7 linked regions of the Mus musculus genome follow. The protein of the gene in region 1 purifies or fractionates together with the protein of each later gene. This does not show direct contact. Links are inferred from orthologs where the notes say so. Each region holds a gene or a part of one and is shown in the gene's direction. Other genes may lie near its edges. The genes, in order: Polr2j, Med19, Polr2m, Gpn1, Gpn2, Gtf2b and Rpap1.

Region 1 (4,176 bases):
GAGTTCGATGCCAGCTTGATCTACAGAGCAAGTTTCAGGACTGCCAGGGTTGCACAGAGAAACACTTGTCTTGAAAAACAAACAAAACCAAGACAACAACAACCAGAAGCAGCCAGGCGTGGTGGTCCATGCCTTTAATCCCAGCACTCGGGAGGCAGAGGCAGTCGGATTTCTGAGTTTGAGGCCAGCCTGGTCTACAAAGTGAGCTCCAGGACAGCCAGGGCTACACAGAGAAACCCTGTCTCGAACCCCCCCCCCAAAAAAAAAAAACAAAAAAACAACCAACCAGAAGCATCTTAAGGAAGGGTATACAATGCAGATGTCATAGCAACAGGATTCCCAGGCAGCCAAGCACACTGCATCTGCGCCAGGAAGCTGTAGTCTGACTCCTGAGCCTCTAGGATGATGCCATACACGTCTGTCTTCCTCAGTCAAATCTGTCTAGAATCCCAAAGACAACCAAACGTTCTTTATTATGGTTATGATTATTATTCTCTATTGTGAGTGCACACATGTGTAAATGCATACCGTGAAGGGAGGTCGGAGAAGTCTGTTCTCTACCACCACGTGGGTTCTGGGGACTGAATTTAGGTAATCAGATTTGGTCACACTCCCCCTTGCCCACTGGGCTGTCTTGCTGGCCCCTCCTAGGGGTTTGTTTCTAGGATGATTCTAAATTTCATCCGGTTGACAAGATGAGCCATCAGGGAGGCTGGAGAAATGGCTCAGCAGTTAAGGGTCTTACTGCTCCTGCAGGGGACTGGAGTTCGGTTCCCAGCACCCACTGGGGCAGGGGGGGCTCACAACCACCTGTAACTCCAGCTCCAGGTGACCCAACCCTCTTCTGGTCTCCAAAGGCACCTGCATATACGTGCCCATACAAGATATGCAAATAAAAATCTTTAAAAATAGGAAAAATAAAAGATTGCTACAGAGACCGCTGAAAAATGGCGAGGTGCAAAGCTTTCATCGTGTTTTTAGTTACCTGTGTGCTCAAGAGAAGATGCGCTGGTACCCCAAGCTCCTCCCCAACCTTTACATCCCTTCTTGCTCCACTGGTCCTCATCTAGAAGGCCTCATAAGTCCGCCAGTGTCGGCCCACCCGGGGGTCCTGCAGCAGCAGCCCACTTAGACTCTTAGTCCCATTCAGTCGGTACCGGGGAGCCAGCTACAGGTGGCTCAACTCCGGGCGCGGGAGCACGCGCCAAAACACTCAGCATGGACGCCTCGAACAAGGGTTCTAAACTGACGCATGCGCACGGCTCGCCCTCAGCCTTGCCTGCGCCTGCATTAGGTCATCCGAGCCGCTAGGGGGCGGGGGCCAGGTGCTTACACTGATTGGCTGCGGCTGAGAAATCCGGAAGTGGTCGCGCTTCGGGGCTCTGTTGGCGGAAGGAGACTGTGGGTTGGTGTCGGGGAGCGAGAGCGCGGCGCTAGGATGAACGCTCCTCCGGCCTTCGAGTCGTTCTTGCTCTTCGAGGGCGAGAAGAAGTAAGTGGAGGCCGGCGGAGGCGGGGACGGTTGCATAGGAGCCTGCCGGCCGTCAGCTCCGCTGGAGCGCCGCACTGCTCCTGTCTGGGGAAACCGAGGCGGGAGGCGGGCTTTGCTTTGAGTCTTCCGTGCTGCTCAATGCGAGTCTGCCCAGCTTCAGGCAGCGGCGCGAAGCACTGGCGCGTGCATGCATTTTGCAGTGGGAAATCGGAGGCTCTGGGACATGGAGTGTCTTGCTCCAGACACTTGGTTCATGATGACAGCTGTGAAGGGACAGAGACACAGCTCTCTTACACTCCTCAGCAACCTGAGGGTTTCTCCTAGATTTTCAGGGATCCCGACTTAGGCCAAACCCGGGTTCGTGGCTCCACGCTAAAAAGAATTTCAGGACTCTTCGGTTTAGTGAAGCAGGATTGGTGGGTTTTTAATTAAAGATACTTTAATATGGGCTTAAGCAGGAGGGTTCAGAGGAAGAGAGCGCTAAGAAAGTAAGACAGACGCAAGTTGGGTCTGTGTGCATTCAGAGAGCAGGGGGAAGTACTTTGCACTCGAGTGGCTACAGGTTTAGAGATTAAGCATCTAATTGTCTTTTGGAGGTAGGGTTTCTCTGTGTATCCTCCTTGACTGTCTTGGAACGAGCTTTGCAGACCAGACTAGCCTCAAACTCAGCGATCCACCTGCTTCTACCTGGGATTAACGGCCTGAGCCACCGGCTCTGGCTTTATGTAATTGTCTTAATGGTAGCCAAATACACTCTTTTGATGACTCAAAGTTTGCTACGAACCCTTCTCTCTTGTGTAACCCTTCTCTCGTGTGTGTGCCCCTTCTTGGAAGTCAGCTTAGTCTCTATCTCAGTGGGAAAAAGGTATGGAGGTGTGCTAGGAATCGTTTGTGAACCCCAAAAGATCATTAAGGAGCCGTTTCCATTAGGGTCTCTTTATCACAAGCTCGGGCTTGGGCTCTCCTCCAACCCAACCCTGACACAACAGGACAGGAAGAGAAGGCAGAGCAGCCTTGAACCCAGGACAAGGTTTTCTAGGGAGTGGGAGTGACGGGGTATGGAGCTTGGCAGGTATCTAACTGAATGTCTGTTGTAAGCTGACAGGTGGTGCTGTGAAGGGAGATGAACAATCACAAACTATCTGAAAGTAGATCTGAAGCAACCAGACTAATCTTTGATTAACTGTTGCTAGGGAGTAACTCTGGGGTATGGGCCAAGGGACAAGCCGTGAGGTCCTTCCTGGTACTTGGTTGCATCTTGGGTTCTGCTGTAGGTCAAGTTCTCAGGCTTTTTTTGCGGGGGGGGGGGGGGGTTCAAGACAGGGTTTCTCTGTATAGCCCTGGCTGTCCTGGAACTCACTTTGTAGACCAGGCTGGCCTCAAACCCAGAAATCCGCCTGCCAATGCCTCCAGAGTGCTGGGATTAAAGGCATGCACCACCACGCCCGGCTTTTTTTTTTTTCTTTAAGATGGAGGTAGCAGGTCCCAAGATGGAGTAGATTTGGCCTCTCAGAGGTATACCCCAGTGGTAGATTGCTTACCTAGCATGCACGGGGCTCATTTCATCCCTGTATCAATCAGTCAATAAATAATGAAGTTCTTCAAGATCCTCCGAGTTTGCCAGTACAGTGTACACTGCAGACCTGTAGCCGACACTGCTCATTCCTAAGAGGCAGGGTTTTGTGATTGACATTTGATAGCTACTTCAGCCTTCCTTGGGGGCATATTCTCAACTGAGAGCCCGGTTGTTGTCCCATGAGCAAGAGCATTTGGCCATCTGGAAAAGGTTCTGGTTGTCCCAGGCACGTTGGTATTGGCAGCGGGTGGATAGCAGCAAGGGATGCTGATAACAACCCTTGGTGCAGTAGACAGGCTCCCAGAAAAGGACAATCAGGTCCAAAACATCCATGTTCTGGGCTGGCAACATGGCTTGAGCGCAGGCACCCGCAGGCAAGCCTGATGACTTGAGTTCAGTCCCTGGGACCACTATGGTACCAGGAGAGACCTGACAATTACAGGTTGTCCTCTTATCTCAGACAGGCGTGGACAAAGTAAGAAAATATTTGTGTACCGAGTTTGAAAAAAGGAGCAATCCTTAACTGAGCGGTGGATTTTAATCCACCTTTAATCCCAGCACTTGGGAGGCAGAGGCAGGGGGATCAAGGCCAGCCTGGTCTACAGATCAAGTACGAAGAAATGTAGTCTCAAAAAAAACAAACAAAAACAAGGACTGCTAAGTCCATGCTCCCTGGTATATAAATAGGAGGCCATCACAGGGGAGAGGCGGTTCCTTGTTAGCATTTATTGATTGATTGATTGTCATGCTGAGGACTTGTGTGTAGATCTGAGTTCTGCTTCCAGTGTTTCTCCAGGGGCATGGGAAGTGGAGACAAGCACAGTGTGTCCATTGGCAAATGAGATTCTACCTTAAGCAAAGAGAAAGGCCAGGGTGATGGCTGAGGTGTTTCTCTATCCTCCTGCCTCAGCCTCCCAAATTGCTGGGATTACTGGTCTGAACTACCAGGCAGGCCTACCTTGTTTATTGTTTGGACGGTGGGAGTGGTGGAGATGAGACCCAGAGACTTACACATGGGAGGTTAATGGTTGGCCACTGAACCATGCCAGAGCTCTGAGTCCTTTACTGGTGAGTAGACTGAAAAAGGCCTCCCAGGGCTAGACCTGTAG
Region 2 (4,285 bases), on another chromosome or scaffold:
GAAAGACTCTAGAGTACAGGGATTGAGATAAGTAGAGTATCTGTTGTGCTCTTTCATTTTGAGTTAGTGTCTAACTATGTAGTCCTGATGGATCTAGAAATCCTATATAGACCAGGCTTACATCAATCTTAAAGAAGTCCACCTGCCTCTGTCTCCAGAGAGCTGGGATCAAAAGGGTACAACACAAAGCCTGGCAACAGTACTGTATCTTTAATGTAAACAAAGTTAATCTTATTTGAGAGTCCCAGAACATGTGAGGCCTGCCCAAGGTTATATCAATACCTTTAGGCCTTAAGTCCTGGTCATTGCTATTTTAGCATAAATACCTGTATAGGTATTTATTAGCTCTATGTCCACAACCTTTACGGCAAATGTTAATTGTTCTTACATACTGCTTCTTAGATGGTTGAGGGGCCTCCCTCCCCACACCTCATATTTTTGTAATCTTCCCTGTTTTTCTATCCCACCGCAGGAAGATAGTGTGCATAGTTACTATGCCCAGAGTATTCGATTTTCCATCCAAGTCATTTATTTTGTTGAGTCAGCGACCTTCGTCTGCCAGTCTATCAGAGAATTGAATAAGGTTAGACAGCACTTTCTGAACGCTGCGTTTCCTTGGGAAATCGCCTAACTACACTGTGATCACTTCGTTAAAAATTAAACAAAAAAAATTTAATGGTATTTCTACTATTGGCCTTTTCTTCACTGGCGCCCCAGGTAGCTTGGAATCACTGTAGAATACTGTTCATCTGTGATGGAAACCCTGTAATCTGTTTCTCCATCTTAAACACGGAGGTTATGACTAGATAACGGCCTAGGCTCTGCACTCAGTCTGTAAGGCGGCTACATCCCGAAACCTGCTCCCAGATTTTCACATGCACCTGCAGGGCAGGGATGGTCAAGGTCGAGAGCTGGTAAGGCAGGGGGCGCTCACCCAGTCAAAGTCACACGGGTTGCCATCTTCGCGTTGCGTGGGGAGACCATTGCAAATCGGTGGCAGTTTCCTCACGAGGAGGAAAGCAATGGAAAGCAGAGCAGACAGAAGGCAATAAGGTCGGGCCAGCCATCGAGAAAGCCGCGGCACCGAGTACACCAAAGCAATCAGAGGCGCAAGGACAGCCATCTTTCCTGCCTACTCTCTCGCAGGCTCACTCCCGCTCCCCAAATCTTCGTCCTCCGCCCCCACCAGCAAGGCTTCTATTGGACCAAATATCAGATGCAACGCCTCCAGACCCGGATGTAGATCTCTTATTGGATGCTATAATAGATCAGAAAATGAATTAAATAGTCTATTGGTCCTCATCGTTGTCGCTTTTCTAACTGAGTCATTTTATTGGCTATTAGTCTGCGAACCACCTTCCTAACCAGTCTCTCAGGCGACGGAAGTAAGTTGCCGGAAGATGGTAGGCGGGGCTTAATGTATCCAATGATGGGACACTCTTAGACGAAGAGGGTGGTACCCTGTGAAAGTACTGTCCAATCAAAGTAATTAACGCCCGATCCCGGGTAACCAGGAGCGCAGAGTGCTATGGAGAACTTCACGGCACTGTTTGGAGCTCAGACTGACCCCCCACCGCCACCAAGCGCCCTAGGCTTTGGGCCTGGAAAGCCACCCCCGCCACCCCCTCCTCCTCCGGGAGGTGGTCCAGGCGCAGCCCCGCCCTCGACGGCAACCTCGGCCCCCGCAGGAGCGGATAAGTCGACGGCTGGAAGTGGCCCCTTCTACCTGATGCGGGAATTGCCAGGTGAGTAGTAGGCCAAGAGTAGCCACTCAGATTGTAGTTCAGGTGAGGGTGTGGCTAGCCTGTCCCGCTAGGTGTGAGATAACAGGGCTACGCGGGGCCAGTGGGCAACAGTGTCAGAAGCCCTTTGGCGATTCACAACCCTAAGGGATAACTTGATTTTCTGGGGTGGGTTTGGGTTGGGTGTGAATATCTGGGACAACCTTCAGCGAGAAGTTCTGTGATCCGGGTTCTCTGACTGCCGTTTGTGACTCTATAAAAACGTGAGCCGTTGTTTAGAACTCGGGAGACCCGATTTAACATTTCTGGAGACACTTAAGATTTTAGTTTAAAGTCTGTCACAAACTTGTTGGTTTGTAGCAAGTTGCCTTCCTTGTCAGGGACTCGGAGATTAACCTGTTCAAAGAAAGGATTAGAATTGAATCAATTCTTACTTTCATAAAATTATTCGGGGAAATTGTGGTGGTGGGGGGCGTGGCTCAGTGGTAGAACTCTTGCCTGCCTTGCAAAAGGCGTCGCGTTCACAGAATCATTTCTGAGTAGGTAGCATTCAAGAATAAACAAAGCCATCCCTGTTTGGATAGAGAGGAGATACTAGGTACAAGAAACTAAATCAGGAGACCTTGGGGGGCGGGGCTTAGAATATCTGAGGGGCAGAAGACACATTGGACTCAGGAAAGCGGAAAAAATCCAGTAGTGATGGGAAATAGGTAGAGGCTTTTATAAGGCAAGGTAGGTTGTTTAAAGTTCAAATTGAAGTCATTTCAATATAGGTGCAAAATGATCTAATTTAGTGATTTTTAGATATCCAGCAGAAACATGAAAAATGAAAATAGGATAATCAGAAGTTGCCAGTCAGTGTTCAGAAAAGGAATGGTTTGGACCAGGGCTTAGTGGTCGGGAAGCAAATGAATACAGGATACATGTTAAAGGTAAAGCCTACAGAAATAAAGAACTAAATATACACAGAGAGAGGAATTGTGAGTGTCCTGTACAAAGGGTACAGTAGTCTGAGACTAGGAAGGCATGGAAAGAAAAAATTTGAAGAGCTAAAACTTAAGAGGCGTTCTGGACATGTTAAGTCTTGGGGAACTTGTAGTACTCCATACCAGCACTCAGGAGGTGAAGGCAGAAGGAGCTATAGTTCAAGCCCAGCCTAGGAGACATGAGATCCTGCTTCAAAAAAGAAATAAAAACCTCAGTTATCCCAGTATTTATTAGCAAAATAGTTTGAAGTTCACATCAGTGCAGTGTGTAACAATATGTAATACTTACTATAGTCCTTTTAGATAGATAGGTATTGTCTGTATTTTTTAATTGAGAACTGAAGCATAAAGAAATGACTGTTAAGGCAGTTTTCTTTTTCCTTATTTTAGTTGTTTTTTGTTTTTTTTAAAGATATGTATATGACTACACCATTGCTCTCTATGGACACACCAGAAGGAGGCATCAGATCCCATTACAGATGCTTGTGAGCCACCAGGTGGTTTCTGGGAATTGAACTCAGGACCTCTGGAAGAGCAGTTGATGCACTTAACCACTAAGCCAGCTCTCCAGCCCATCTTACTGGGTTTTTGAGACATGGTCTCACTCAGTAAGCCTGGCTTGTCTCAAATTCATTGTAGACTAGGCTGGCCTTGAACTCACAGAGATCCACTTGCCTCTACCTTCAAGTATGTACCATCATGCCCAGCTTCTTCCAGCAGTTTATCTTTTGCATTACCTGTTCTAATTATACCATTAATAGATCAGTTGATAAGTACTGAATATCCAAGGTATGGTGGGATTATGAGAAGTAAAGATTATATACATATATATATGATTTATTTATTTATTATATGTAAGTACACTGTAACTATCTTCAGACACTCCAGAGAGGGCATCAGATTTCGTTATGGATGGTTGTGAGCCACCATGTGGTTGCTAGGATTTGAACTCGGGACCTTCGGAAGAGCAGTCGGCACTCTTAACCACTGAGCTATCTCACCAGCCCCGAGAAGTGAAGATTATTAAGCCTAGTTTTTAGGTAGCCTATTTTTTGAGATCCAAAATACATGGTTTAAGGATTGTGCTTATATTTTGTGGGTGTCAGTCTTATTTATTTATAGTTCAACACAGGAAGCAATGTTAAAAACTACCTGATAGTTTTCAAAATGTGTTAGCCAAAATGACAGCAAGAATAAGATGTCATTTGAACTAAACACTGAAGAATTTATATAGGTAAACAAAATTAGAAAGTTGTTTTCTCAAAGGAAATAGTGTTACAGTTTTTTGTTTGTTTGTTGTTTTTTGTTTTTCGAGACAGGGTTTCTCTGTGTAACCCTGGCTGTCCTGGAACTCACTCTGTAGACCAGGCTGGCCTCAAACTCAGAAATTGGCCTGCCTCTGCCTCCCAAGTGCTGGAATTAAAAGTGCCACCACTGCCTAGCTGTGTTACAGTTTTGTTGCTGTTTTCTACCCAGAAGATAATTAGATCTGCTGCAGACCCTCTGGTCCCGCAAGATCCATCTGGATACATTAGAAATTTTGCATGGAAGATTAGT
Region 3 (4,126 bases), on another chromosome or scaffold:
GTGGTCTCTTAGATCTCTTAGCAATGCTTCAAAGATAATTGTTTCGAAGTCCATCAGGTATAAGTGTTATAAAAACAATGAAATGTGACTCTCCCTGAGAAGCCCATGCCCATCTCTGGGTATATGTTCCATTTGAGCACTTTTATATCTCTGAACACTCATACTTAGGCCTGTATGAAAATATTTTTTATTAGACTCCTATTCTCCTAGTCCTGAATATTTTCAGCATCAAAGTTACAAACCCTGGTTTGAAATCCCTAAAAGATTAGAGGAATTTCTCAGGCCGTGGAAGTCAAGAGTGGAGCCGTTCTTCCTTTCTATTCCCTTTGTTAATATGGCTTAATAAGCCCACTCTTAAGAGAAATGAGAGTTTATGTTGACATGAACATCTATTAAAAATGTTGACAGTGACTTGATCTGTGATCATTAAGAACTGAAAACAACTCAAATATCCTTCAGCATAAACACACAACTCACAATGCAATACTGCCTAGCAATAAAAAAGGGGCAGGGCAGCAAAGCCCGAATCAGAAACTGTCCAACTACTTGCCAAAGACGCTGTACTATTTTGCATCCTCTGCTCCCCCATTAGCAGTCTGTAGGAATCTCAGTCGCTCTTCATTATTTCCAACAGTTGACATGGTCGACCTTTCTAATTCCTGATATTCTGACTTGCTCAAATATTCAAATCTTGTTTTGTTTGAGACAGAGTCACTTTGCAACCTCGAATTCACTATGTAGATCAGGCTGGCCTTGAACTCAGTCAGCCAGACTTAAAGGCATGCACGACCATACCTGACTATATTGTTTCTAATATGCATTTTATTATAGCTAGCTATATTGGTCACTTGTTATTTTTTGAAGACTAAATTATGTTAATGTGTGTGTGTTTGTGCGCAGGTGTCTGGAGAAGCCAGAGTTTGTGAAGTGCCCTGGAGCTGCAGTCTAAAGGCATTTGTAAGCTACCCAACAGGGGCACTGGTACCCAAACTCTGGCATACTGCAAAAGCAGTATGCCCTCTTAGCCACTGAGCCATCATTATAACCCCGTTATTTATTTTAACTGTGATTAATGTCCATTCAGGAATCCCTGTAAATTTTTTGTCCAAAACTTTGATTGCTTAATCGTAGATGCGACGCTCTATTACTTTCGTCATATTTTACTTATTAGAAGTGAGTTTGTAAGTCTTTGACTTGAGTGTCCTATATTTCCCAGTGCACAGGCGAAAAGCCGGGAAAGCAAAAGGCCCATCCAGAGAAAGCCCGCCAAACCCAGACGCCTTGGCGGTGATGTAACTTCCGCCCCTGCACGCTTCCTCGGGCGTCCCCTCGTCCTGGCCTGTCCGTTTCCGGCATTTCAATAAAGCTCCCTTCGGCTCGGAGAAGCCGTGCTCTTCCGGGAAAATGGCGACTCCCGCTCGCGCTCCAGAGTCGCCGCCGGCCGCGGAGCCAGCGCCCGCCGTGGGCCCCGCCGGGGATCCCTGCCCGCCGCGCCAGCCGCAGCCCGTGCGCAATGTTCTCGCTGCCCCGCGGCTTCGAGCCCCCAGCTCCCGAGGACTTGGGGCGGCAGAGTTCGGCGGAGCTGCGGGAGAGGTTGAGGCGCCAGGAGAGACTTTTGCGCAACGAGTAAGCGGTGGCCCTGGGGTCGCGGTTGCGGGGGATCGGGATCAGGGAACAGGCTCTCAGGGATCGGGATCCGGGGACTTGGTCTCCCGCCCCGCCCCGCGGCCTGGCGCGCGAAGGTGACCTTGCGTGGCCAGGCCTCCCGAGCCAGGCCTGTCCTGTGCGCGGGCATGGCTCCATGCTGCCCGGCCCTCACTCGGCAGCCGCGCCTGCTCGATTTCATGTTCGCACTACAGCTTTGAACGAGCTCCGGTACCAAAGCCTCTTGATCGGAACGTGTGGGATTTCCTTCTCTCTATCTGAAGCCCCACTCTTTCCCCAACCATAGATTTGGAGAGCGGGCTGGAAAGTTTGGTTCATGCGTAGTGGGGAGAAGATGATAGCTGATTGCCTAAAGGCAGCTTTGTTTAGGAACAGGATTGAAGGAAGACGCCAAAAGGATATTTTCTGAGAGGTTTTTTTTTCAGCAAGGAGGGAAAAATGGACCATGAAGGCAATCGAGGGATTGGGGGAACTGGTGTAATAATTTGGAGACAAATATATATTAATAGTTAACAGGTGGTTGAAGTTTCTGGGGAGCAACAAAGAATAATGGGAAAATTGGGAGAGAGGGATGGATTTTAGGTTAATTTTTTATTTTGGGCGTATTCAGTTGAGGGAGTAATTGCAGGCATTTAGTTAATTAAAAGCCAACCGATTAAAACCCAGAGGAATGAGTATTAGGCACAAGAGAGAGAAGGCTGAAAAAAACCGAGAGGAACTCAGTTGCAGAGAGGCATTAATACTGTTGAAAACGTGGGAATAAATGTATCAGGAAAAATAGAGGACCCAAGGTTTAGCCCCCTTCTCCTGTTTGTTATATAACCAAGGAAAAGAACCAGAAAGGGAATTTTTGTCACTGAGGGAAAGGAGCCAATGACCATTTGGCAGGAGGGGTTCCTACTAGAAACAGGTAGGTATTTTGACTTTTCAAGATTGGGTTGTTAATTTTAGCAGTGAATTAACCTTCTGGTCTTGGAACATTTTTATACTCTTTAAGAGTTATTTGGCATCTCAAAGAACTCCTGTTTATATATGCTGAGTCTAGAAATATTAGCAGTTTGCCAGAAGCAACTGAGAATTCTTTCAAACACAGAACCACATAAGCAAGTCCATCTTCCTTTGTAAGATAGTGATGTTATCCCATTATGTAACCTCTGGCATTCCTCAGTTCATCGGGGTTCAGAGACCATGGCTTAAAACCCACTGGTCCTTATCATATATTTATTGTACAGGCTAACCATGTTTTCCTAAGTGCTTAAGACCATTATTTTATATTTTTAGGAGGCTTGGAATGTATGGGTAGAGTTAAGACCCAAATTTAAATATAAGTTTCAGTTGTTTCTTACACATGGCTTGAAGGTAATTTTATACCATGTTCCTTATAGCTTGGGGGGGCGGGTTGAGGGGTTCAAGACAGGGTTTCTCTGTGTAGCCCTGGCTGTCCTGGAATTCACTTTGTAGACCAGGCTGGCCTCGAACTCATAAATCCGCCTGCCTTTGCCTCCCAAGTGCTGGGATTAAAGGCGTGCGCCACCACGCCCTGCTCATAGTTTGGGTTTTGACTACACCTCATCATCCTGTGGTCAGGTGTGAAACTTTCCACCCTGAGAGAATTTCATTTCCCATTCAGAGCACTCCCTTGGGGGAGGGGTTAGAATAATTTTACGTGTTTGGTTATTGTCTTAAGCCAGATTTTTTAAAAATCAAAAAAAATTTTTTTTAAACTTTTAAGAGCCAGCTTTTCTTTGATTCCATTTTGCCTTTTAAATACTGTGTTCCCCATGTTTAAAAACATGCCTGTAATATGTATGTGCTGGTTTCTTTTTTTCCACTCCACAGAAAATTCATTTGCAAATTGCCCGACAAAGGTAAAAAGATCTCAGACACAGTTGCCAAACTGAAAGCTGCCATTTCAGAACGTGAAGAGGTTAGAGGGAGAAGTGAACTGTTTCATCCTGTTAGTGTAGACTGTAAGCTAAGGCAAAAAGCAACCACAAGAGCTGACACCGATGTAGACAAGGCCCAGAGTTCTGACCTGATGCTTGATACTTCATCATTAGATCCTGACTGTTCCTCAATAGACATTAAGTCATCTAAATCAACCTCAGAAACACAGGGACCTACACATCTCACTCACAGAGGCAATGAAGAGACTTTGGAGGCTGGCTACACAGTAAACAGCAGCCCAGCTGCCCACATCCGAGCCCGGGCGCCCTCATCCGAAGTTAAGGAGCATCTCCCCCAGCACTCTGTTTCAAGTCAAGAGGAAGAGATCTCCAGCAGCATCGACAGTCTCTTCATCACTAAATTGCAAAAAATCACAATTGCAGACCAGAGTGAACCCTCAGAAGAAAACACCAGCACTGAGAACTTTCCAGAACTGCAGAGTGAGACTCCTAAGAAGCCTCATTACATGAAAGTGCTAGAAATGCGAGCCAGAAACCCAGTGCCCCCTCCTCAT
Region 4 (3,500 bases), about 100 Mb from region 1:
TTTCCTTAAATGCCTGCACATTCCTCAAATGTGGCCGTCTTAGAAAAGGCTTCAGCGCCTGCTCAGGCTGCTCTCCCCGTACTGTGTCCTCTCCGGCTGTTCTTGCATTCACGGCCCACATGCACGTGCACACCAGCTTACCACGTGCACGTGCACACCAGCTTACCCAGCTTCCTGGGAAGCTTTGTGTCGAGGTTTCCTTGTGCTCCTAAATTAATCCAGGAAGAGCTGACATCTCTGTGCTCTTGCTTCTTCCTCCTCAAGAGCAGGAAGAATTTTCGTTTTGGCAGGTCTTGAGTCTTTCTGGAATGTTATCTTGCGTATGTTTTGCATATTTCTAATTACATTATTGAGTGGATTTTATCTTCTTTACTACATGTTGTTTTACTCTGGTAACTGGTAGGGGTTTGTGCTGTTTTTTGTTTAGTTTTTTTCTCGTTATTTGTATTCTGCTATCTTCCCTCCTCCTCCCTCCATCCCTCCCTTACTCCTCTTTCTTTCCTTCATTCTGTTATTTTTATCATTGACCCTCTGTGAGTGTCTAGGATGTGCTTATATTAAAAAATATATACTCCTGGGGCTGGAGAGATGGGTCAGCAGCTAAGTGCACTTGCTGCTCTTGAAGAGAGCCCAGGTTTAATTCCCAGCACCTACATGATGGCTCACAACCACCTGTAACTGCAGTTCCAGAGGATCCAACAGTCTCTTTTCACTTCCATGGGCAGGGGGCTTGCTTGTGGCTCATAAATATATATGAAGGCAAAACACTTGTACATAAGAACTAATGTAGCTGGGCGTGGTGGTGCATGCCTTTAATCCCAGCACTCGGGAGGCAGAGGCAGGTGGATCTCTGAGTTCAAGAACAGCCTGGTCTACAGAGTGAGTTCCAGAACAGCCAGGGCTACACAGAGAAACACTGTCTCAAAAAACAAAACAAAAAACTACAAACTCTCCCGCATGTCTGTTGGTCCAGCGCACTCTCATGCTGCCCTCTGATCAGCATAACAGCTCAGAGCCAGCTCAGAAGACACGTGTACTGATCAGTGTTTTAACCCTAGGCAACGCATCTCCTGTGCTGGATCCTTCTGACTTGATCCTGACTCGAGGAACCTTGGATGAGGAGGATGAAGAAGCTGACAGTGACACGGATGACATTGACCACAGAGGTGAGAGGCAGCCGGTGGACATAGCAGCTGCCCCATCCACTCAGGAGATTGTCACTGTTGAGAGGAGATCCTGAGCAAATGGCCAGGGACAGGGGAAAGGGAAGATGGTAGAGCACACAGCACCAGCAAAGGGTTCCATGTGAAGAGTTCTGACCTTGCTATGTGTTCTAATTTCATTCTGTTGCCGTGGCAAAATAGCCCAATGGAAAGCAATGCAGTGGAGAAAGGGATTGTTTCCGCTCCTATTGCAGCTTCCATGCTGTGGAGAGGCCAGGTGACATCCACAGCAGGAGCAGGGAAACGAATGCATGCCCCTCACTTGTCTTCGTGTACTCAGCTTGGTCTCTCTGCCACACAGTACAGGACCTCTGTCTAGCGAGTGGCCCCCACACAGTGGGCAGGGTCCACTAACGTACCTTTCATGTCTTGTTACTTCTCCTGAGTTTGACTCAGTTAGCAGGTGCTGCTGTTTCCGTCTGTTACCGGTGTTTTGGTTGATAAGTGGTGAAGGCTGTACCCCCTGCTAAAAGCATTGATACTGAGCAACATCCTGAGTCGCTCACCCTGGGGTGGGGGGCCAGCAGGCTGTTTCATAAGCCTTCCAAGTGACTGCTGTGCTCATTGCAGAACTTCACAAAGCTATTTCTTGAGCCCCCTTTGCTTCTACCGGGGGAAAACATGAGAAACATGTCTCTGAGCCCCCAGCAATCTGTTTTACTGGCTCATAGACAGGAGGAAGCAATGTTGGGTTTTAAAGATGTGGTTTTGTTTTTTTTTCCTTTCTGTGTGTGAGTGTCTTGCCTGTGTGTCTCTGTGTGTACTATGTGAATGCCTGGTCCCCATAGAGGTCATAAATCCCCTGGAAATGGAGGTACAGATATCGTGAGCCACCATGTAGGTGCTGGGAACAAACCTAGGTCCTATGCAAGAGCAACAAGTGCTCTTAACTGCTGAGCCGCCTCTCCAGCCCCCAAGTGTTTGAGTGTTTGCCAGTCACGTGTGCTGGTGCTAGGCTGAGGCTGTGAGTGAGTGGACTCTTCTTTCTCTGGCCTGCCTGAGCAGACCTCAGATTAGGATTTTTTGACTTTGATGCTGCATGTTCTAGAAGCCATTTCATTGACTGAGGGTGTAAGTATGTAATTCCTTAAAAGTCATTTCAGCCAGGTGTGGAGGCGCATACATGCCTATAACCTCAGCGTTGGAGAGACAGGCAGGAAGACTATGGGTTCTAGGCCAGCTTGGGATTCATAGCAAGTCCCAGTCTTGAAAAAGTGAAAAATAATTTTAAAATGTATGTCTCTCTTTCTCTCTCTGTCTCTCTCTGTCTCTCTGTCTGTGTGTGTGTGTGTGTGTATGTGTATGACAGGAGCTCTGATTCATTGTCTACTATGAAGGTTTTAAACACAGCACCCTTGTCTCCTGCAGTTACAGAGGAAAGCCGTGAAGAGCCAGCATTTCAGAACTTCATGGAGGAGTCAATGGCACACTGGAAGAGGAACAAGTAGGCCCTCCCACCTGCTGTACAGCTCTGATGTGCTGAGTCTCCATGCAGAGGACATCCTTCCTGTGAACCAGGGCTGCAGTCAAGAGCAGTTTTCTCCCAAATGGTGACTTCTCTGAGGGAAACTGGGCTTAGATGAAGTCTGGTTGAAGGCGGAGCTGGCAGGTGGATGCCCATTCTTGGGTAGCTCCTCCCGATATTTATGCAAGGATGTATTCTCACCGCTCTGGAAGCTGAGAGATAGCTGCTGAGCCTATAACTTCAAGTATCATCGTTTGAACTCAAGTATTTCTGCTGCTGATGGACAGAGAGGACGTCTGTCCCAGAGACGCTTTGGACCTTGACTAGCTGGGTCTGTGGGCACAGCAGGATGGAAAGGAGAGTGTGTGTGTACAGAGGGCAGCACAGTGCCCTGGGCAGCCAGGTCGGATGTGATCTGTGCTCACACGAGGTAGCCCATTTTCAAGAATACTGTTAGGATGGTGACTTGGATAAAGATTTTGACTTTAACTTTGTGGTAAGCTTTCCTGTCATGGTTTGATATTAGAAAGTATGTGATCACTAATAGATTTCCCACTATTAGTTATGACCAAGCCTTAAAGACATGTCTGGTAGGATATAATGCATAGTAGGTTAGTTTCCCATGTCTATCCACCTAACCATGGCCAAAATCATGTCCTTATATTGTACTTAGAACAATACAAAGCATTGTTTGTGACCAGGATTTGGTCCATTCCGTCCATTCAGAGCTAGGATTTGCCCTGGTTCTCAGGAGTGTAGTAAAATCACGAGCCAGGCAGTTCTTATGGATACACCTCCAAATCAGCTTTCCT
Region 5 (3,992 bases), on another chromosome or scaffold:
TTTTGAGGTGGGTGTGGGCCCCTCTAAATGAACAGCTTCACAGCAGGTGTAGAAATAGATGACACTGTCCTTATTTTCATTTTAAACCCAATCCTACAACTTAAAGGATCACGGGGCCCTCAGGGAAGTCATTTCCTCAAGTCTGGGTTTTGGCTTCATAAGGGAGTCTGTTGTGGAAATGAAAATTCCCAGGTCCCTGATAGTTGACACTCCTCTCCAGAGGCTGGAGAGCAGAATTTGGAGACAATGCTTTGTCTTTGGTGCTGGAGGTGTGGCTCAGGAGTGAGTGTGTCCTTGCCCCGGGTTCTTGTGCTATGAGCATGAGACCGCTCTGATAGAACAAACCAGATATGTAGTAATTACTTCCTGTCTCTTGCTAACCTCTTTACTGGGCTTTGAAGAGAGCAGCCTTCTCACCAAGAGCTCTGTTTTATCCAGATACCATGGAGAGAAGTTACAGCCATTTAGGCAACTGAAGAGGCCCCGTCGAACTGGCTTGGGGCTCATTTCCACCATCTATGATGAGCCTCTGCCCCAAGACCAGGGGGAGACCTTGCTCCGGCGCCAGCCACCCACCAGCATGAAGTTTCGGACAGATATGACTTTTGTGAAGGGTTCTAGCTGTGCCTTGGACAGACCTGAGCCCGAGTGAGCCTATGTCCTTGGTCAGGATCACTCTGCGGCAGGGACTTAGCCCTCTGCCTGGATCTTGCCCTGTGGACCTGAGAAGCAGCCCAGAGCCTGGGAGCAGCCCTGAGCATGCCCAGTTTCTCTACCTCAAAGATGATATCACCAAAAGCCCCTCCGTCTCCTGGGGTGTTTGTGCCTAAAGGCCTTCCCTTGGTCTCCAGGCCCTAGTGCTTGTTTGGGTTTGCCCAGAACAGTGAAGATCTGGACTGCCTGTGGCACCGTCCAGTCGGGTTTGAGGGTTGTCTGAAGAGCTCCGTGAAGCTGGGAAAGGGGACCAGAGAATTGATCCAGAGAGCGTCGCGGTCCCTTACCACGTCTACCCTCTGCCTAGAGACGGATCGGTGCGAGAATAAACCAGTTTACCCGGCATGGAGATCTGCCTTAGTGAAGCCTGGGGAAATCTTAAAACCGGAGGTGTGCGGTTGCGTGACCACAGCCTATGCCGTGGCCGTGTGGGTGGGACTTCCTCTCCAGACAAGTTCCGGCGGAATCCGGAAGTCGGAACTTTTCCCTTCCTTGCCGGGTAGTTTGTTCGTTTTTCTGCTTGAGTTTACTTGGTGAGGCGCCCGTGGGCTGCCAGCTCCACCCATGGCGGGGGCCGCCCCGACTACGGCCTTCGGGCAGGCAGTGATCGGGCCCCCGGGCTCGGGGAAGACCACGTACTGCCTGGGCATGAGTGAGTTCCTGCGCGCTCTGGGGCGGCGCGTGGCGGTGGTGAACCTGGACCCCGCTAACGACGGACTGCCTTACGAGTGTGCGGTGGACGTGGGCGAGCTGGTGGGGCTGGGCGACGTGATGGACGCGCTGCGCCTGGGGCCCAACGGTGGCCTGCTCTACTGCATGGAGTACCTGGAAGCCAACCTGGACTGGCTGCGCGCCAAGCTGGAGCCCCTGCGAGGCCACTACTTTCTCTTCGACTGCCCCGGCCAGGTGGAGCTCTGCACGCACCACACCGCCCTACGCAGCATCTTCTCCCAAATGGCCCAGTGGGACCTCAGGGTGTGTCTCGGGTCGGGCAGAAGGAATCCCTGAGACCGGGAGGCGGATAGGTGCCACGCCCCCAAGTTACATTGGGAGATAGCGGCTGAGTTAAGTTTGAAGCAGAACTAAAGCCTCTGAGATAGAATTTTAGCTCGGCCCCAACTCATTTCATGGTCTTGGAAAGTCCTTTCACTCAGTTTTGTCATCTCTAAAATGAATGTGACAGTTCCCAATTTTAAAAACAGTGGAAGTGACTACACAGAAAGTGGCTTAGTGATTGGTTAGTTGGTGTTCAGAAGTGTGATGAAAGAGTAGAGAGGTAGGTGCAGTGTGATTTGAACCCTTTGTCCACTGCAGGAACTGTGCAAGAGACCTTGGAAGAGGTGTTGGAGATTAGCTCAGTGGTAGAGAACTTGTCTAACAAGCAGAGGCCACAGTCCCTGGGTTTGGTCCCCAGAATAGTAGGAAGGACAAAATGGTAAAATTGCCCCCTATCTTCTTGGAGGAGGACATGATGTTATTAAATTTAAATTAAGTTGCCTGGCGGTGGTGGTGCACGCCTTTAATCCCAGCATTTGGGAGGCAGAGGCAGGCTGATTTCTGAGTTCGAGGCCAGCCTGGTCTACAGAGTGAGTTCTAGGACAGCCAGGACTACACGGAGAAACCCTGTCTTGGAAAAAAAAAATTAAGAACAAGAGGCAGGAAAATATCTCAGGCCTGTAACCCCAGCAATGTGGTGTGGAGGCAGAAAGAGTTCTGGGCCATCAAGCCCTGTCTCAAGCAGGCACATGAACAGGAAATAGAACAGTACTAAGGAAGGAATAGAACAGTACTAAGGAAGGAATAAAACAGTACTAAGGAAGGAATAGAACAGTACTAAGGAAGGAATAGAACAGTACTAAGGAAGGAATAGAACAGTACTAAGGAAGGAATAGAACAGTACTAAGGAAGGGTACACTGGATCCGTGGGCTGCCAGGCTCTCGAGGGAGATGTGGGCTCAGAAGTGTCCTCCCTCACCAGGTCAGTCTTCCTCTCACCCTGTACCTTCTGCTCACAGCTGACTGCTGTCCACCTTGTGGATTCTCACTACTGCACAGACCCAGCCAAGTTCATCTCCGTCCTGTGTACCTCCCTGGCCACCATGCTGCACGTGGAATTGCCCCACATCAACCTCCTCTCCAAGATGGACCTTATTGAACACTATGGGAAGCTGGGTAAGAGACTGCCTGCAGCGCGAAGGGAGCTACCTCGCTGCCTTCCTGACTTTTGGCCATTATTTTGTGCGCTGTGCTAGATGCCACAGTTGATTTAGAGATGAGAGCTACAGATGGGGCTTTAAAGGATTTAAAACAGGTGGTAGTACAGTGGCTGGCTGAAGGGAGTGGATCACAGCTCACTGCTCTGAGCCATGGCACCCTGACTTTTGGGTACCTGTTCTGGCCTGTACAGTAGAGGCAAAGTGCTGTCCTAGTTGGGGCTGTTGTAATCAAACTACCATCAACCCAGTGCCTAAGACAACGGACATTTATTCCTCATGTTCTAGAGAGTGGGAAGTCTTAAGACCTGCATGGGTAGATGCAAGGTCTGGCTAGTAGGTGGCCACCTTACCCCTGCATCCTCACATGGCAAGGGGAGTTGGGTAGTGTCATGTCGCAATGGCCAGCATATCTTTCTGCCAGATCATTTCTCTGCTGTGCTAGTAGCATGGGCTCTTTAAACTCCGAAGTCATAAAGGAACAGAGGGAAGGAAGCTGATGTCTAGCAGGTGAGCAGAGGGGGAGGCTGGGAAATGACGTGGAAGTGGCCTTGCCTGGTGAGGACATGGAAGGATGCCAGCCACATCAGTCAGCTCATCTTCGAGGGCAGCTGACCACGGAGCCCAGTGGCTGTCAGGGCACTCTTCCTCTTTATTAGGAAACTGTGCATGGAGCAAAAGCCTGCTGTTAGAGCATCTGCTCTGGTCCTGCTCTAAGGAACTGGCCCAGGAAGGGAAGGTGCCTTACCCAGGAGGCCTTGCTGCTGGACTGAAGAGCGATTCAGTTTGACCAGCGTTTCCTAAGTCCTTCCAGTGTGTGTGCTAAGGCCCTGGGCTCTGACCAAGCTTCAGGAAGCAGGGACTAAGCATAGTTCTCAGTACCTGTTTGACACTGGTGTGGACAACCATTGACTGACTGTTTCTGTGTACAAGGCAAGATGATGGGTTTACAAGCTGTAGTCCTCACAACAGTCCCAAAAGGTGTGGTGGTGCATGTCTCTAATCCCAGCACGTGGGAGAGGAAGGCAGGAGGATTGCTTTCAAAGCCAGCTTGTTATGTGATAC
Region 6 (3,500 bases), on another chromosome or scaffold:
GTGCCATATCTGGGGCTCAGTGTTGGTTTCTGTTGTTGGCAGATCTGGCATTCTGCAGGAGCTGTAGCCAGGTCGGCCTTGGTGAGTGGAAGTCCGTGTTGCTGAGCCCAAGCATAACCTCCATCTCGACCACCATGGCCACTTTGTTCATGTGTCCATTGAGCAATGACAGGGATGGCTGGGGAGAGAGGCTGACTGTCTACAGAAGAAAAAATTACAGTCTTGTAATCAACATTAGAAACTTGGGCTGGGATTAAGAGCATTTGGCTGCTTTTCTGGAAGACTTGGGTGAAATTCCTGGCTCACAAACTGTAACTGCAATCCTAAGGGATTCCTCTGATTTCCCTTGGCATCAGTAATGCACTGGTACACAGACACACACACACACACACACACAGGCAGATACCTATTACATATTTTTACAAACAACGTTACCATCTTTGGTATCAGTTGTGTAAGACTTTTTATGAGGAGATCCAACATGAACATCTGTTTACCCCAGATGGGGAACCAGTGATGGACCCAAGTAATGATTCTACCAAAGGCCATACATACATACACACCCCACCATAGTCACAAACTTCAATCCTAGAGCTGTCTTCAGGCAGCAGGTCAAGCTGGAGAATCTCTCCAGGCTACGTAGCCAGTTAAGGCCTATATAGTAAGAACCTGTCTCAAAAAATAAACAAAGCAAGATTGTGCAGTAGGAAAGCTCTAACATGGCATATAGTTCCATTTTCTGTATTGTTGAGCAATTGCCAAGATTTAAGTATTCCTGAAACCAACCTCTTTAAAGCATGTTCTAATGGAAGTTTCTGTTTGAGTCACAGGCTCCACTGGACAGACTCCCGGGGCATATGGAGTCAGAGTGTGTACATTACATTTTCATAGACACTGTTCACATTTTCCAAAAATGTTGACCAAGGTTAAATCTTTGTTTTATAGGGTACAGGAGCTGCAAGTTTTGATGAGTTTGGCAATTCTAAGTATCAGAACCGGAGAACAATGAGTAGCTCTGATCGAGCAATGATGAACGCATTCAAGGAAATCACGACCATGGCGGACAGAATCAACCTCCCTCGCAATATAGTTGTAAGTTCTTATCCGCCTCCTCCAAGCCATTCTGACTTTACTCTGCATAATTTAATGAATACATACAATTTTGATACTGTAAGTGATTAAATGGCCTAGACTTAATTAAACTAAGTTTCTCTGCTTTGAAGGATCGAACAAATAATTTATTCAAGCAAGTGTATGAGCAGAAGAGCCTGAAGGGCAGAGCTAATGACGCGATAGCCTCTGCTTGTCTGTACATCGCCTGTAGACAAGAAGGCGTTCCCAGGACATTTAAAGGTAGGCTTCAGTTGTACCAAGTAGAGCTCAGACAGGCAGCGTCAATGCTTAATGACACTGCACAGTGATCCATGTACACACCGTTTGCCAGTGGCTCTGTATGTTCTTTGACAGAAAAATGTACAAGACAGGCTTCTTTGCCATGTTCTTTGCAAGCTGCTTATGCAGGTAGCATTTTAATCCCTGTAAGTCAACAGTATAGCTGACTGGTTTTTTTTTTGTTTTTGTTTTAATTATTTATGTATGTGAGTGCATTGTAGCTGTCTTGAGAGGCACCAGAAGAGGGCATCTGATCCTATTACAGATGGCTGTGAGCCACCACGTGGTTGCTGGGAGTTGAACTCAGGACCTCTGGAAGAACAGCCAGTGCTCTTAATTGCTGAGCCATCTCTCCAACCCCACAGCTGACTGCTTTATAGGAGCCCTGACATCATCTGCTGGAGAGGCTTTTGAAGTTACATATATAGCTGGTGATGGAAACCACAGCCAGCATAGGTTTCACATTTGAGGGGTCAGGTCTTGGAAGGGGTCAATGTAATTAGGTTGTTGTTTCATTTTTGTTTTGTTTTTTGAGGCTTATTGTTTGCAGTTTTATGCAAACTAAGGACTTCTGATTTAAGTGCTGGCTTTTGTCGAGCTTGTGTTTCCTCAGGACAAACTCCTCCAGTGTTGTGGTGATACCTACACTGCCCATCACTGACCAGGTCCAGGTCGGGACTATAGTCACCATATCCAATGAGCATTTTCATAAGCTTTCCTAAGTCACGGGTAGAGGGATGACTAGCACAGCTCTTTTGCTGTAACAGCTCAAACAGGGGTAAGAGTTTAGCTTATATAGCGACAGCATGCAGACAGTTGCAGGTCATACATGTGCACTCGCATTCTCCAGCTTGAGTGTTTTCTTTCTTCTCCTTAGAACATTTCTTACCAGGCTGTCAGAGAAGTTGATTCCTTGGAGAAACTTATTGTATAAATTGAACTAGATAAGTTTGTGTTTTGAAAGAAAACAGTCCAAAGTGTGGTGAAAATATAAACCAATATGTTTTGAATAAATAAGCTCCATAGGAAGTACTTCCGAGAGGATTTAGGGCTCATCTTTAAGCCTTGATTGAATTTTTTACAACCAGAATATTTTAATAATTTATTAATAATAAATAATAATTATTTATTACTTAATTTTATAATAAAGTTTATAAAATGAATTGTCTTACAAATTCTTTAAAAATACTTTCTCTTTTAGAAATATGTGCTGTGTCTCGAATCTCTAAGAAAGAAATTGGCCGCTGTTTTAAACTGATTTTGAAAGCTCTGGAAACCAGCGTGGATCTGATCACAACTGGGGACTTCATGTCCAGGTTCTGCTCCAACCTTTGCCTCCCCAAGCAAGTGCAGATGGCAGCTACACACATAGCCCGCAAGGCAGTGGAGCTGGACTTGGTTCCTGGCAGGAGCCCGATCTCTGTGGCGGCAGCAGCTATTTACATGGCTTCCCAGGCTTCAGCTGAGAAGCGAACACAGAAAGGTAGGAGCTTCATCAGGACATCAGCCAATGAGATGGCAAGGCTGGGAGTGTAGTGGTCTTACTCATAATCTCCCATGGAAAGGGTTAACTATTCAGATCCTTGAAGAAGCATTAACTCATAAGGAGGAAGGATTGGACAGAGTCCTCTTCACCAAGAGATTATTTGCTTAGTGTGCTTGAGAGCCTGGTTTTCATTCCTAGCCTCACAACAAAACAATACCTCAAGAAAGTACAGTAGCTTGCTTATAGTGGTTATTTAGAGGTATACAGCCTGTGTGCAAGGCTCCTTTTCCAAATTAAATTGTTTAATTTTCATATGTGTCTTTTGTGAAGGGATTTACTGGAACATGCACAGCTTCTCAGTGGTTACTCTCCCTGGGTGATGCAGATATAGGCCAGATTCCACCAGATTAAAGTAGATAAAGGCAAGTTTATTAGGAAGCACCTCTCAAGTGGGTTCATCCATCTCACAGGTGGAGGTCAGTGAAGTTACACTTCCAGGCTAAAGAGGGGGTTTATGTTTAGGCAGAGTGATGACATCTCAGCTAGGATCTGGGATTGTGGTCATACATGGTCAAAAACCGAGTCCCTAGGCGGGCACTCTTGAGTGGAAATCAATGACATG
Region 7 (3,500 bases), on another chromosome or scaffold:
TCAGAGAATTTTTAAAAGACTGGAGTGGGGCTGGTGAGATGGCTCAGTGGGTAAGAGCACCTGACTGCTCTTCCGAAGGTCCAGAGTTCAAATCCCAGCAAGAGATCTGACTCCCTCTTCTGGAGTGTCTGAAGACAGCTACAGTGTACTTACATATAATAAATAAATAAATAAATCTTAAAAAAAAAAAAGATTGGAGTGGACTTTACCTTAAGGAAAAGATGAGGTGGAGGAGAGAGGTTGTCTTAGTGCTGAAGTTTGGGAAAAATTTGACTCTTAAGTGCTTACTAGAAAAAGGCTATGAAGCAAAGCCCTAAAGGGTGATCAGACTAAAGAGTCAGCTCACAGGTTGTAAAGAGAACCAGGCCTGGCAACACAGGCTCTCGGGAGCTGAGTCAGGAGGATTAGAAGGTTTTGTTTTGGTTTTTAGATTTATTTATTTTATACATATGAATACACTGTAGTTGTCTTTAGATACCAGAAAATGGTATCAGATCCCGTTACAGATGGTTGTGAGCCACCATGTGGTTGCTGGGAATTGAACTCAGGACCTCTGGAAGAGCAGTCAGTGCTCTGAACCACTGAACCATCTCGCCAGCCCCAGGAATAGAAGTTTAAGGACAAGCCTGGTGTGGTGGCGCATGCCTTTAATCCCAGCACTTGGGAGGCAGAGGCAGGCAGATTTCTGAGTTCGAGGCCAGCCTGGTCTACAGAGTGAGTTCCAGGACAGCCAGGACTACACAGAGAAACCCTGTCTTGAAAAAAACCAAAAAAAAAAAAAAAAAAAAAAAAAGAAGAAGAAGTTTAAGGACAGCCTAGGCTATATACAGAGTTCTAGTCCAGTCTAGGGTGAGTCCAGACACTCTTCAGCGTGCTAAGGATTGTAGCTCAGTTGATAGAGAGCTTGCTAGCCACTCCTAGCTCCACTGTCTCAAAGGAGTAAGGCAGAGAAACAGAACAGGATGCCTAGTGTCCTCAAGTTCATGCCTGCATGAGCATGTCCACCTGCATTCACGTGTACATAAAACACACACACATACACACGCACATGTACATTTATTAAAACATAAAAAAATTAAAAATTTAATAGTTACTCATAGTAATTTTTTTATTTAAAAACATTTTAGAGCCCGGTATAGTGGTGCACACCTTTAATCCCAGCACTTGGGACGCAGAGGCAGTTGAGTCTCTGTGAGTCTGAAGACAGCCTGGTTTATGTAGAAGTTCAGAGCCAGAGCTTCATAAAGAGACCCTGTTTCAAGGGAAAATAAAGGTTTTGAGACAGTGCCTTCCTATGTGACCCAGGCTGGACTCAGCCTTGTAACCCCTGCCGTGGCCTTCTGTGTATGTGCAGGAATGATAGGCACCTGCTCCCACTCCCAGCTCAGTAAGTATTGTTTTTATTTATATTTTTGGGCGGGGGTTCAAGACAGGGTTTCTCTGGCTGTCCTGGAACTCACTTTGTAGACCAGGCTGGCCTCGAACTCAGAGATCCGCCTGCCTCTGCCTCCCGAGTGCTGGGATTAAAGGCATGCGCCACCATGCCCCGTGTATTTGTATATTTTTATAAAATTGGAATTACTGCTTAATGAATTTTTCATTTAACCTTACATCATGAGCAGTTGCCATCCCTTAAATACTCTTAAGAAATCAATACTTAAACCGGGAGTGGTGGCGCACGCCAATAATCCCAGCACTTGGGAGGTAGAGGCAGGTGGATTTCTGAGTTCGAGGCCAGCCTGGTCTGCAGAGTGAGTGAGTTTCAGGACAGCCAGGGCTACACAGAGAAACCTGTCTTGAAAAAACAAAACAACAACAACAACAAAAAAGAAATCTACTTTGTGTGTGTGTGTTTACGTGTGTGTGTGTGTGTGTGTGTGTGCGCGCACTAGAAATGGAACACAGGGCTTCATGCATCCTAGGAAGGTGCGCTCAGGCTGTAAACTATGCCCTAATACCAACCAGTCTTTGCCCTTTAGCTTTCAGGCACTAAAGAAGGGAGGTCTTTCTAGGACCTGATTTCTGCCCTGTGATTTGATGGCATGTGACCAACAGTCATCCACTGCTGCTACTGATGGACATTCCCACTTGGCCCTCAGCATATCATTTCCTTCTGTCACAGCTGCCTGTGCCTCTGGAGTGCTACACAGAGCCTGCTGAAGACAGCCTGCCTCTCCTTCAGCTCTACTTCCGGGCCTTGGTTACTGGTACACTCCGTGCACGTTGGTGCCCCATCCTCTACACTGTAGCCGTGGCTCATGTCAACAGTTTCATCTTCTGCCAAGACCCAAAGAGCTCAGTAAGTCACCTCTCTATGTTCAGAGGGAAGGAGGGAGCTGGTGGACCAGTTGGGGATGGGCTGAGGGTTAAGTGAGTCCCTGGGTGGGTACCAGTCCTCGGCTTTGTGTCATATCTCTCTTCCGTCCACTCCCAGGATGAGGTAAAGACTGCCCGAAGGAGTATGCTGCAGAGAACGTGGCTGCTGACAGATGAGGTAGTATTGTGGGTGTCGGGACGGAAAAGATACAGGACATTAAGGTACCAAACCTCAACAAACTGACCACCCACTTCATGGGTTTTGTCTTCTCTGCAGGGGCTGCGGCAGCATCTCCTCCACTATAAGCTTCCCAACTCCAGCCTCCCAGAGGGCTTTGAGCTGTATTCCCAGTTACCTCGCCTGAGGCAGCAGTGCCTTCAGACACTGCCCACAGAGGGGCTCCAGAATGGAGGAGTCAAGACATAGGGCACTTGCCCCCAGCTAAAGATGACTACTCTACTCTCCTGGGACTGAGCAGTGAGCCTCCCGAGAGAAGGCAACACAAGACTTGCCTTCCTGTGAGCACATTGTTTGAGCCTTTTTTAGAACAGAAGGGACTCGTATTACATCATGATACTGGAGCTCAGGATCTGGGGGCTGAGGGCTGTGCCAGGCGTGGAAGGAGGGTGGCTTCAGTGTTTACCCTGCGGTGCCCAGGACAGTCTGAGCACAGCTCTCCTCACTCACCTCCAGTCTTCACCAGACCAGGATGTGCAATTACTGTGCTACACTCTGAAATAAATTCTTTTCTAGTCTGACTGATCTGGACTGTTTTGTCACATTCAGAGTTGGTAGCAAGGATGGATTTTCCCGAGGAGAGAGATGGGAGAAAATGTCACAATGGGAGGTAAACACATTACCATCTGGGGGTGGCAGAGGTGTGTGTCCTGGGAGTCAGTGACAGTGCGCCTGGAGTGGGTGTGGTCCTGGAGGACTCAGCATGCCCTGGAAGTGCTGAGGTCAGAGAACCCAAATGTCAGCCTGGTGTAGTTCTCCTATGCCGTTCTCAGTGGGCTTTTTTTTATAATGTGTGTTCATCTGTATGTGAGTATGGCATGTGTACAGAGACCAGGAGATGATTTTGGATCCCCCTGGAGCTGTGTGGTTTTGAGCTCCCTGCTGTGGGTATAGAGACCAGACTTGGCTGCGCTGACCACTGAGCTATCCTCCAGCCCTGGTACTT

What was found.
Region 2: the proteins of Polr2j (region 1) and Med19 purify together in Homo sapiens (affinity purification with mass spectrometry; 3 studies listed by BioGRID and IntAct, with this or other methods). This does not show direct contact. The link is inferred for Mus musculus from reciprocal best matches to the Homo sapiens genes POLR2J and MED19.
Region 3: the proteins of Polr2j (region 1) and Polr2m purify together in Homo sapiens (affinity purification with mass spectrometry; 3 studies listed by BioGRID and IntAct, counting the BioPlex papers as one, with this or other methods). This does not show direct contact. The link is inferred for Mus musculus from reciprocal best matches to the Homo sapiens genes POLR2J and POLR2M.
Region 4: the proteins of Polr2j (region 1) and Gpn1 purify together in Homo sapiens (affinity purification with mass spectrometry; 5 studies listed by BioGRID and IntAct, with this or other methods). This does not show direct contact. The link is inferred for Mus musculus from reciprocal best matches to the Homo sapiens genes POLR2J and GPN1.
Region 5: the proteins of Polr2j (region 1) and Gpn2 purify together in Homo sapiens (affinity purification with mass spectrometry; 3 studies listed by BioGRID and IntAct, counting the BioPlex papers as one, with this or other methods). This does not show direct contact. The link is inferred for Mus musculus from reciprocal best matches to the Homo sapiens genes POLR2J and GPN2.
Region 6: the proteins of Polr2j (region 1) and Gtf2b purify together in Homo sapiens (affinity purification with mass spectrometry; 3 studies listed by BioGRID and IntAct, with this or other methods). This does not show direct contact. The link is inferred for Mus musculus from reciprocal best matches to the Homo sapiens genes POLR2J and GTF2B.
Region 7: the proteins of Polr2j (region 1) and Rpap1 purify together in Homo sapiens (affinity purification with mass spectrometry; 5 studies listed by BioGRID and IntAct, with this or other methods). This does not show direct contact. The link is inferred for Mus musculus from reciprocal best matches to the Homo sapiens genes POLR2J and RPAP1.

Annotation. Positions count from the first base shown.
Region 1 is NC_000071.6:136,115,315-136,119,490, forward strand, and holds the start of Polr2j (DNA-directed RNA polymerase II subunit RPB11), read left to right. Parts: upstream 1-1,376; 5' UTR 1,377-1,438; coding exon 1,439-1,491; intron 1,492-4,176. UniProt on the Homo sapiens protein: Core component of RNA polymerase II (Pol II), a DNA-dependent RNA polymerase which synthesizes mRNA precursors and many functional non-coding RNAs using the four ribonucleoside triphosphates as substrates.
Region 2 is NC_000068.7:84,676,917-84,681,201, forward strand, and holds the start of Med19 (mediator of RNA polymerase II transcription subunit 19), read left to right. Parts: upstream 1-1,485; 5' UTR 1,486-1,528; coding exon 1,529-1,745; exon of another isoform or gene 1,746-1,912; intron 1,913-4,285. Other genes in the region: Tmx2 (thioredoxin-related transmembrane protein 2 isoform a precursor), read right to left, coding at 935-1,123. UniProt on the Homo sapiens protein: Component of the Mediator complex, a coactivator involved in the regulated transcription of nearly all RNA polymerase II-dependent genes.
Region 3 is NC_000075.6:71,483,184-71,487,309, reverse strand, and holds the start of Polr2m (DNA-directed RNA polymerase II subunit GRINL1A), read left to right. Parts: upstream 1-1,326; 5' UTR 1,327-1,513; coding exon 1,514-1,626; intron 1,627-2,351; exon of another isoform or gene 2,352-2,575; intron 2,576-3,504; coding exon 3,505-4,126.
Region 4 is NC_000071.6:31,508,241-31,511,740, forward strand, and holds part of Gpn1 (GPN-loop GTPase 1), read left to right. Parts: intron 1-1,058; coding exon 1,059-1,166; intron 1,167-2,591; coding exon 2,592-2,671; 3' UTR 2,672-3,500. UniProt on the Homo sapiens protein: Small GTPase required for proper nuclear import of RNA polymerase II (RNAPII). May act at an RNAP assembly step prior to nuclear import.
Region 5 is NC_000070.6:133,583,181-133,587,172, forward strand, and holds the start of Gpn2 (GPN-loop GTPase 2), read left to right. Parts: upstream 1-1,192; 5' UTR 1,193-1,278; coding exon 1,279-1,689; intron 1,690-2,729; coding exon 2,730-2,886; intron 2,887-3,992. Other genes in the region: Gpatch3 (G patch domain-containing protein 3), read left to right, coding at 439-652. UniProt on the Homo sapiens protein: Small GTPase required for proper localization of RNA polymerase II and III (RNAPII and RNAPIII). May act at an RNAP assembly step prior to nuclear import.
Region 6 is NC_000069.6:142,778,747-142,782,246, forward strand, and holds part of Gtf2b (transcription initiation factor IIB), read left to right. Parts: intron 1-945; coding exon 946-1,092; intron 1,093-1,223; coding exon 1,224-1,353; intron 1,354-2,593; coding exon 2,594-2,875; intron 2,876-3,500. UniProt on the Homo sapiens protein: General transcription factor that plays a role in transcription initiation by RNA polymerase II (Pol II). Involved in the pre-initiation complex (PIC) formation and Pol II recruitment at promoter DNA.
Region 7 is NC_000068.7:119,763,538-119,767,037, reverse strand, and holds the end of Rpap1 (RNA polymerase II-associated protein 1), read left to right. Parts: intron 1-1,979; exon of another isoform or gene 1,980-2,122; coding exon 2,123-2,299; intron 2,300-2,434; coding exon 2,435-2,494; intron 2,495-2,593; coding exon 2,594-2,743; 3' UTR 2,744-3,079; downstream 3,080-3,500. UniProt on the Homo sapiens protein: Forms an interface between the RNA polymerase II enzyme and chaperone/scaffolding protein, suggesting that it is required to connect RNA polymerase II to regulators of protein complex formation.